Xenopus tropicalis: one gene and its partner. The protein of the gene in region 1 binds, or shares a complex with, the protein of each later gene. Links are inferred from orthologs where the notes say so. Each region holds a gene or a part of one and is shown in the gene's direction. Other genes may lie near its edges. The genes, in order: ppih and lsm4.

The links.
Region 2: ppih (region 1) and lsm4 share a complex: the UniProt entries of both Homo sapiens proteins name them as parts of the U4/U6-U5 tri-snRNP complex. The link is inferred for Xenopus tropicalis from reciprocal best matches to the Homo sapiens genes PPIH and LSM4.

What each region holds. Positions count from the first base shown.
Region 1 is NC_030683.2:94,748,135-94,751,960, reverse strand, and holds part of ppih (peptidyl-prolyl cis-trans isomerase H), read left to right. Parts: intron 1-196; coding exon 197-289; intron 290-1,544; coding exon 1,545-1,632; intron 1,633-3,437; coding exon 3,438-3,478; intron 3,479-3,826. UniProt on the Homo sapiens protein: PPIase that catalyzes the cis-trans isomerization of proline imidic peptide bonds in oligopeptides and may therefore assist protein folding. Participates in pre-mRNA splicing.
Region 2 is NC_030677.2:103,364,863-103,369,143, forward strand, and holds the start of lsm4 (U6 snRNA-associated Sm-like protein LSm4), read left to right. Parts: upstream 1-1,379; 5' UTR 1,380-1,405; coding exon 1,406-1,408; exon of another isoform or gene 1,409-1,421; intron 1,422-4,281. UniProt on the Homo sapiens protein: Plays a role in pre-mRNA splicing as component of the U4/U6-U5 tri-snRNP complex that is involved in spliceosome assembly, and as component of the precatalytic spliceosome (spliceosome B complex).

The sequences.
Region 1 (3,826 bases):
CCCCTTTGCCAGAACCCACAGTCGAGGTCTGCATAGTGTATGCTCAGTCATTATATACAGCACCTCCTCAGCATAATTCCTTTGTGCATCTTTCTTTTGAACATCTCGTCACATTCAAAGGAATCCTTTTGGCGATTGCAAAAGGACATTATGTGAATTTGCTTCTACTTTATATTTACAAAAGCATGTTTTCCAGGGGGATGGCACTGGAGTTGCAAGCATATATAGAGGTCCATTTGCAGATGAGAACTTTAAACAAAAACATTCTACACCTGGACTTTTATCCATGGTATGTATTACAAATCTGTTTTCTTGTACATGATGTAATATATGAAGCACTGATTAATAAGTAAATAGTCTACAGTGAGAAAAAAAATTTGCAGTCGATCACAAATAAGCTTTCAATGGACTTGCATTGTTTAAAAACAGAAGACAAATGTGTGATTAGTTTATACTGTTGTTCATATTAATAGACCTGGAGAAGCATTGTTTTAAGAGTGAGAACTAGGGTACAGAAAAGGATAATCGAATACTGCTTTCAATTGCAAATAACTAAAACTATTAAACAATGTTGTTATTGGACTTTTTTTTATAGTTACATTACCTTCTGTTGTGCAAATAAACATTTTTGGGTGGTTTTACTCTTTAACTCTTTTCAAGCCAAGCACTTCAGACATGGTTTAGCTTCTGTGTATCAATGCTACTGTAAGGCATGTCCAGCCCATTTAGCTCACTAAAGTGTGGCATGCTCCATCTACTGACCCAGCTAGCTATTTCTGTGCTGTGTCAGTTCAGTTTTAATTGCCCCAGTTACTATTGCCCTGTTAATTGGCCCCAAGTGTTATGGAGGCACTCTTTTCCAAGTTATTGTTGTTTAACTAGGAGAGGGCTGCATTCATTTTGAAGAATCTTTTGGCAACGCTTTCTGCAAAATCTGTTAACAGATATTAATGTTTCTAAAAAATAATAATGAAAAAATCAATGTAAGTGTCTCTTAAACAAAAAATGCTAAACATTTGCCTGTCTCTCCTTCTTTTATAAAAGCAGCAAAACGGGAATTTTATGACTGGCATTCTGGTCACCTTATAACAAAGAATTCTGTTCTAGCAGTCACATAGTCTCTCAGCCTGATACATTTTAGCACAGGGAGTTCCTCTGCAAGAGACCTAGGAATACCCTATATTCTTGGGGGAATACCCTATATTCTTGGGGGAATACCCATCTCATATGAGAAGTAAGAAAACATGGATAAACTTTATTGTCAATAGAGCCCTCTTCCTGTGTGTTTTGCCTCTTACAAAGCACAAGTACTCCTGCTACAGATTTATAGCTAGGGTTGCATGCATGCCATTCCCACTGATATAATTCACTTGACCTTTATATTTCCAAGCTGTTTTTTTTTTTTTTTTTTTTTTTATTACACCCCCACAGAGTGGCTTTTGTATTAAACAGCTAAAAGAAGATCACTGGCAAGTCCACAGTTTCTCTTGTTTGCAAACTATACAAGAAACTAAATATAAAACACACTGTGTTGTACTCCACAGGCTAACAGTGGCCCAGGGACGAATGGCTGCCAGTTTTTTATCACATGCTCAAAGTGCGATTGGTTGGATGGAAAACATGTGGTATTTGGTGAGTTTTTAACAGAATATATTTCACTAGCATTAGGACACATCCAAGGCTCGCAGCCAAGTAGCTCGTTATTTCAGGCTGCTCCTGCCAGGCTTGTTCATCTGGGAGACAATCCTACATGTGACTTTTTGATCAGATATGTTGTAAGATATTCCAGTGTTCTGCAGTTTAGGATACAGCCAGCAAAAACAATGGCTGGTTATTTTCCAAAGTAAAGTTGTAGCAGAAAGTCTGCCCTATTAGTTTGTGTCAGTGCCGAGGGTATCTTTATGGATGCTCAGTACAGTAATACATTTTTGCTCCATGAATTACACTTACCTTTCAGCATTATGCTTCTTTGGGGCTCATTACTAAATGAAATTGTATGTCCAGATTGTTTCACTCCTTTTGGCAATCTGCACATTCAGGCACAGTGCAAGTGAAAAGTCTAGGCCAGACAACTTGTGTAGCCTGGGGATATTGGGGACATAAGTTGCATAGGGCTGCTGTCCATTGAAAACAGTGGAGTAACACTTTAGCAAGAATACAGTAACACTGTCTTCATTTGATTGTTAAAGGAACAGTGACACCAAAAAATCAAGTGTTTTAAAGTAATTAAAATATAATAATGTTCTGTTGCCCTGCACTGGTAGGGCTTATGCCACATGGGTTTAATTCTCGGCATTTTTCCACAGCCCGAGAATCGGACCCTACGCTGGCATCAGCCACCTTCTTGTCTGTGCAACCGGTGGATATCAGCTTTGAAATGGAAACTCTTGAGTTTTTTTGCTGATATCCACCATTTGTGCCTGCACCAGGCCAATTCAGTTTAATGGTTCCAGGTGCAGACAAAGAAGGCTGATGCCAGCTTAGGGGCTTTGCGTTTTTCTGCAGGCCCACAATCAACCTAAAGATTGTGTTGGCTTCAGAAATTCTACTATAAGCTGTTGGGTAGCCATGGGGGCAACTATTTAAGCTGGATAAGGGCCGTGGCAGACGGGGAGATTTGTCGCGGGCGACTAATCTCCCTGTCTGCCACGGCCCTAAAAAGGAGAAAAGGCACAGGTTACAGCAGATAACAGATACAAACAGTACATTTCGGCACCGAAATTCACTCCATGTACCGGCACAGGGGCTGACGCAGTGGCTCCGGTTGCAGGCACATCCAAAAGCTGATTGGAGTGTAGAGGCTGATTCTCAGCCTGTGTTTGTCCATAGGCCGAGAATCAGCCCCATGTGGCTTAAGCCATGGTCTTATTTCAGTTTAAAAACTACCCCCCTGGGCTATATCACAGCTTTGCTTATATAAACTATATTAATTTTTCTAAAGCAAACAAGCAGCTTTTACCACTGCAGGGTAACACTACATTATATTACAATTACTTTAATACACTTTCATTTTTTGGTGTTACTATTCTTTTAACTCTATCTGAAATATAAATTCAACTTTGAATTCAGCATTCCAACTCTTCTTAGGAATAGGTTTCATAGTAGCATCCTTTTCTGGGCTAGTAATAATTTGATGGCCACACCATGACAGGCTATAGTAATATGCCCTGTATTACATATAAAATATAAGTTGTCAAACTATGATAAATAGCCTCCCTTGGGGACATATTGATAAGCAAGTTCCCAATATTCCCACCTTGAGATGGGCGATATTAAAGTGATCACATTTATAGGATGCAAGCCATTGGGGTGAAGACCGCATGAGCCAATGCACTCCTCACCACTATGGGATTTTAAAACCTGCCCGATGTATTTATATAGATAGAAAAATATTTTTGCTTCATCCACAACAATCAAGATGACTATTTTATTTACAGGTAAAGTAATCGATGGACTTCTTGTGATGAGAAAAATTGAGGTAATTTGTTTTTGTTGGGAGAAATTGAAAGTGTTATAAGTGTTATTTAACTGAAAGAGTATAGTATAGTGCCATTATCTCATAACTTTGGAATGCTTTATTGCTGGGTGTGTCTGGAAATACCAGGGCCACACCCTTTTAATATAGAGAGAACTTGTTAATTGCCTGCTTGTTTTCTTGTTTTTACCAAAGTAAAAATGTATTTTGACTGCTTGAATAACAACAATAAAGCCAAAAGGTTCACTTGTCCAATGTAAGTAACTAAAAATTAAAATACTTTAGTATTGAAATAACCTGTCTTGATAACGTGCAAAAGATAGCACAATTTCTAGTACTAGTTCTGTAGCA
Region 2 (4,281 bases), on another chromosome or scaffold:
GGTGCCAGCATAGGGGCTGATTCTCAGACTGCATTTTTCCAAAGGCCGAGAATTATCCCCATGTGGCACTAGCCTAAATTCTAAGCCCCAAATGATCGGCCAATTAGTGATCTCCAGGTCATAGCTACACCCCCTTAAAGCACTAACGACTCTACGACATCACCTACAACCCCCCTGATGTCACCCGCCCTGCCTACCTTCCGGATTTAGCTAAATGAAAAGATGACATCCCTAGTTGGAATGTGAATTTCTTTTTCCATAGATTATTAGCAACCCACATTAAATCTAATTGCTTGCCTGATACCCCAGGCTGGTCCTCCTGTTCCCTACAAAATTGCACTGGCTTAGGGTATTTCTAAAGAAGCTGCTCTTCACCATATTGTTTGACTTCTTTGTTCCAGTCCAGGCAGGCATATAAGCAGTAAAGTGAAAAACTGAGCTTTTTCGCCCTAACGCGCCCAAAGAAATGAAGGCAGAAGAGAAGATTGCACCAAAAGAGCTTCTTCAGAAATACCCTGGTCCAGTGCAGTTTTCAGCTAATAGGAGCACTTTCCCAGGGCATCAAGTAAGTGATTTTAATAAACAGGATTAATATTTTTCAAATATATGTCAAACCCAAAAATAATCTTTTTCCTAATAAAAGAAAACTTAATTCTAAGCAACTTTGCAATATACATTCATTACATATTTGTAATGGTTTTTGAGTTATTTGTATATATATACCAGCTATTAAAAGCAGTGTCTGCTTGTCCTTTTTATTCTCTACCCTGAGGGGTCTGGTGTTTGAAACAATGTAACAAACACCAGCAGATTTTACAGACCTGACTTGCTGGAGGAGCCTGGCACTTGCAACATTGTTTAAAATGTAACAACCAGGAGTTCAGCAAATGCTGCTTTCTATAGCATTACATTACATTTACAAATAACTTTTAAAGCACTAATAATCTTTAATAAATTGATATTGGAAAGTTGCTTAGAATTGTTTTCTTTTATTAGGCAAAACATTTTTGGGGGGTTGACATGTCCTTTAGCGCGCTGTGACTAGATATAATGAATAGCAGACTACCCTTCCACAACTACCAGAAACCACACTTCCCTTTGTTCGCTTAGTCATACTAATTTTAGAATACTATATAATCCCCTCTGCACCAAATAAATGTTTGTTTTTCTACGTCAGTTCCCTATAAGCAGAAACTACAGAACTCCTCTTTCCCTTAACCACGATGGCAGCGCCTTATGATCACATGGCCTGTTTATTCGACACCACCATTGGTGGATAGGACTAGCCCGATACTATTGGTACAGGAAGGTGTCACCAAAGGCTTCCTTTGCCCAACAGTCTCTGCGCTTGTTGTCTGAGCAACGGGCGGAAGTGACCGTGAGGGAGCGCGGTACAGAGCGAAACATGGCGAGTTACCTGGGTGGGACACGGGGTTTGACTACATTCGCCTGCGTTGTTCTTATAGCTAGAAATGGCGATATACTTGATTTGTGTGCTTACAATTTGGGCATGTTATAACCATTTAGTCTTACTAGTTTCTCTGTCACTCCTAGCCGGCATGTATGTTCCCGCCTGTCCTGTTAACTCATTGTTACACAGAATCGTCTCGGGTTTTTTTTAGTTCTATCAGGGTCCCGTTGCGGGCGAGCTCTGCAGCTTTATTTGTCTGGGTTAGGGAGAAGCTGGTGGAAGGACCTCTTGTGCAACATGTTTTCTTTAGATAATTGATTGGCTCATATAATCAGTGAAGGGGGATTTTTGGATACTGGTCTGAGAATTAAATATTTTACATATATTATAGGCAAACTATACCCCCTGACTGAGTACTTAACCAACAGATACATTATTTACTAAAAAGGAACCTATTAAAGAATGTTACCAAATTGGAATATATATTGGTTAATATTGGCCTTTTCCACATTGAGCCACCATTTAGTGATGGGCTGTGTGCTCCCTCAGAGATCACGTCAGGGAATAATGCAGCTCTAGTGTGTATTAAGATATTATTCATATCTTTTCACATTTAATTATAAGTTTTAGATTTCACTTTTTTGATTAACTTGTATAATTTGTGCTTAGTACAGGGCGGGCGGTTTTTCTTTGGGAGGCCCTGTAAGATGTATATTTGAAGCTTTGATATAGTATGTGCTTATTACAGGGCTTTAATGGTAACCCCGAAAAAGCTTTTGATATAGTAATGTATGATATATGCTTGTTACAGGGCCTTAATGGTAACCCTGAAAAATGTGCAAATTAAAAGTTTTGGGTATAAAAAGGGAAGTGACATGGGCATTCCTCTGATGAAGCACTTAGTGTGCGAAACGCGTTAGGAAGGAGAAAGGGTGCCAGGTAGCATGGGATGTACCTTCCATTTGGTATAGTATGTTTTATGTTATGTTTTTTGAATTTTGTATTTAAATTCTGAGCCAATAAATGGTTGTGTTTTTCACTGAATAATGTGTTTAATTATTGTATGGTATTTCAGGACCTTTCAGTGAGATACATCTTAGGTTTTCTTTCTCAATCTTACTAATTGTTATTTAATAATGCAGCTCTACCTGTAACAGGAAGAAATGTGGGAGTAAAAGTCAGAACTGTCCCCATTAATTGGCTCATGTACCCTAACATATATGTGTGTTTGTGTGCACTGTGAATCATTTCATAACAGGGGGTGGCCCTTAGTAATTAAAATGACTTTTTTTTTAACTTAGAATTATCCATGGTCACATACTGCTACAAAAGTATATTTTTATGAAAATTGTGTATTTTGATGAAGCAGTGCTTTAACTATGATCTGCTTTTTGTAAAATATTATTTTAGAGACCTGCATTGTTTGGGGGTATAGTTTTCCCTTGGCAATGTCCATCATGTGCTCTGAAAGTATGCATTTATAAAGAGTTAGTGACACAGCATATCATTTAGATTTTCTTTTTGAAAGGTCTTAGCAATCTTACTTTTTTAACTTACATCATGGGGCATTGTTCATTATTGGGTAAAAACAGATTACATTTTAAACATAATAAGTGAATGCAAAGTCCCAAATTAAAAAATTGTGCAAAAAGTCATGCATCTGTATTAAACTTGGTTAGAAAGTTCAGTAGTTAGTATAATAATAAGATAAGCACTACACTGGTTTTAATTTTGTTTCATATGCTTACTATTGAAGTGTGAAATTTTGGCATAAATTCTACTGTATGGTAATAGCTTTTATGTAATTAAGGTCAACAAGGATGCTTATTATTATTATTATTATAGTATTATTTATTATATATTATATTATTTAAAAGGACACATCATTATTGAAATAAAATAAGTTCTGCATCTTTAATAATGTGCCATCCAGCACACCACAGATAGCAAAATTGACAGTATAAATATGTTGCTTAAAACCTCTTATATTGCAAGTGTGTAATAAACAAGATAGGCAGAAATTGGAGTAGCATCATAAATAATTAAATGCTCCTTATTGGTGGGCTTGTTTCAAAGGGGAAGTTAACTGTTGCATTGGCATTAGGCATGTTATAGCTGGACCTGGCCAGGGGCTCTTCCTTTTTGGCTTTTTTCAGTCTGAAGATACAAATACTGTCAAGTTGTTGGGATCCTTGACCCTGGCAACTACAACAGATTTAATGTAAAGCTTTATTTTATTATTACAGGTCGTATTATTATTATTATTCCTTTCATCCCCCCCTTATTTTTACCTTGCAGTTTGATTTCAAAAAAGCTTTTTGATTCTTAGCATCCACATATGTTTTTGTTTCAAGCATTAGAATATCATTTTTTGCATAAAAAAAATTAAAAAAAGAAACAATCTGTGGCAAGGTGTAGCTTGTATTAGAATCCAGTTGTATATGCCTGAGTTAAAGTTAATCCTAAGGTCTCACTTTAATGACTTTAGTAAGTACAGAGTTTTGAAACCTATGTAAATGGGTTATTTTCTACAGGCCTCACACACTTGGGTCCAAAACACTGGTAAATTGACCTATTCTATCAAGATATATTGAAATTGCTCATTAGTTATGGCTCCGCTGGACTGCCTACACTCGTAGGCCCCTCTGCAACAGCAGGGTAAAAAAAAAGATGAAACAATGAAACAAATTGAAGGAGATATTGTCCTTGTGGAGGGCCCTAAAAAAAGCTCCACATTTGTTCTTTTGGCTTTCAGTCTGACAGCCTTGCTCTAAACAATCAGTGGGAATGAAGTGTTTTATTTTTCCTTATTTATTTAATGAGGCTGTTATTCAAATGGCAAAAAAATGGATATATATTGTCTAAAAAAG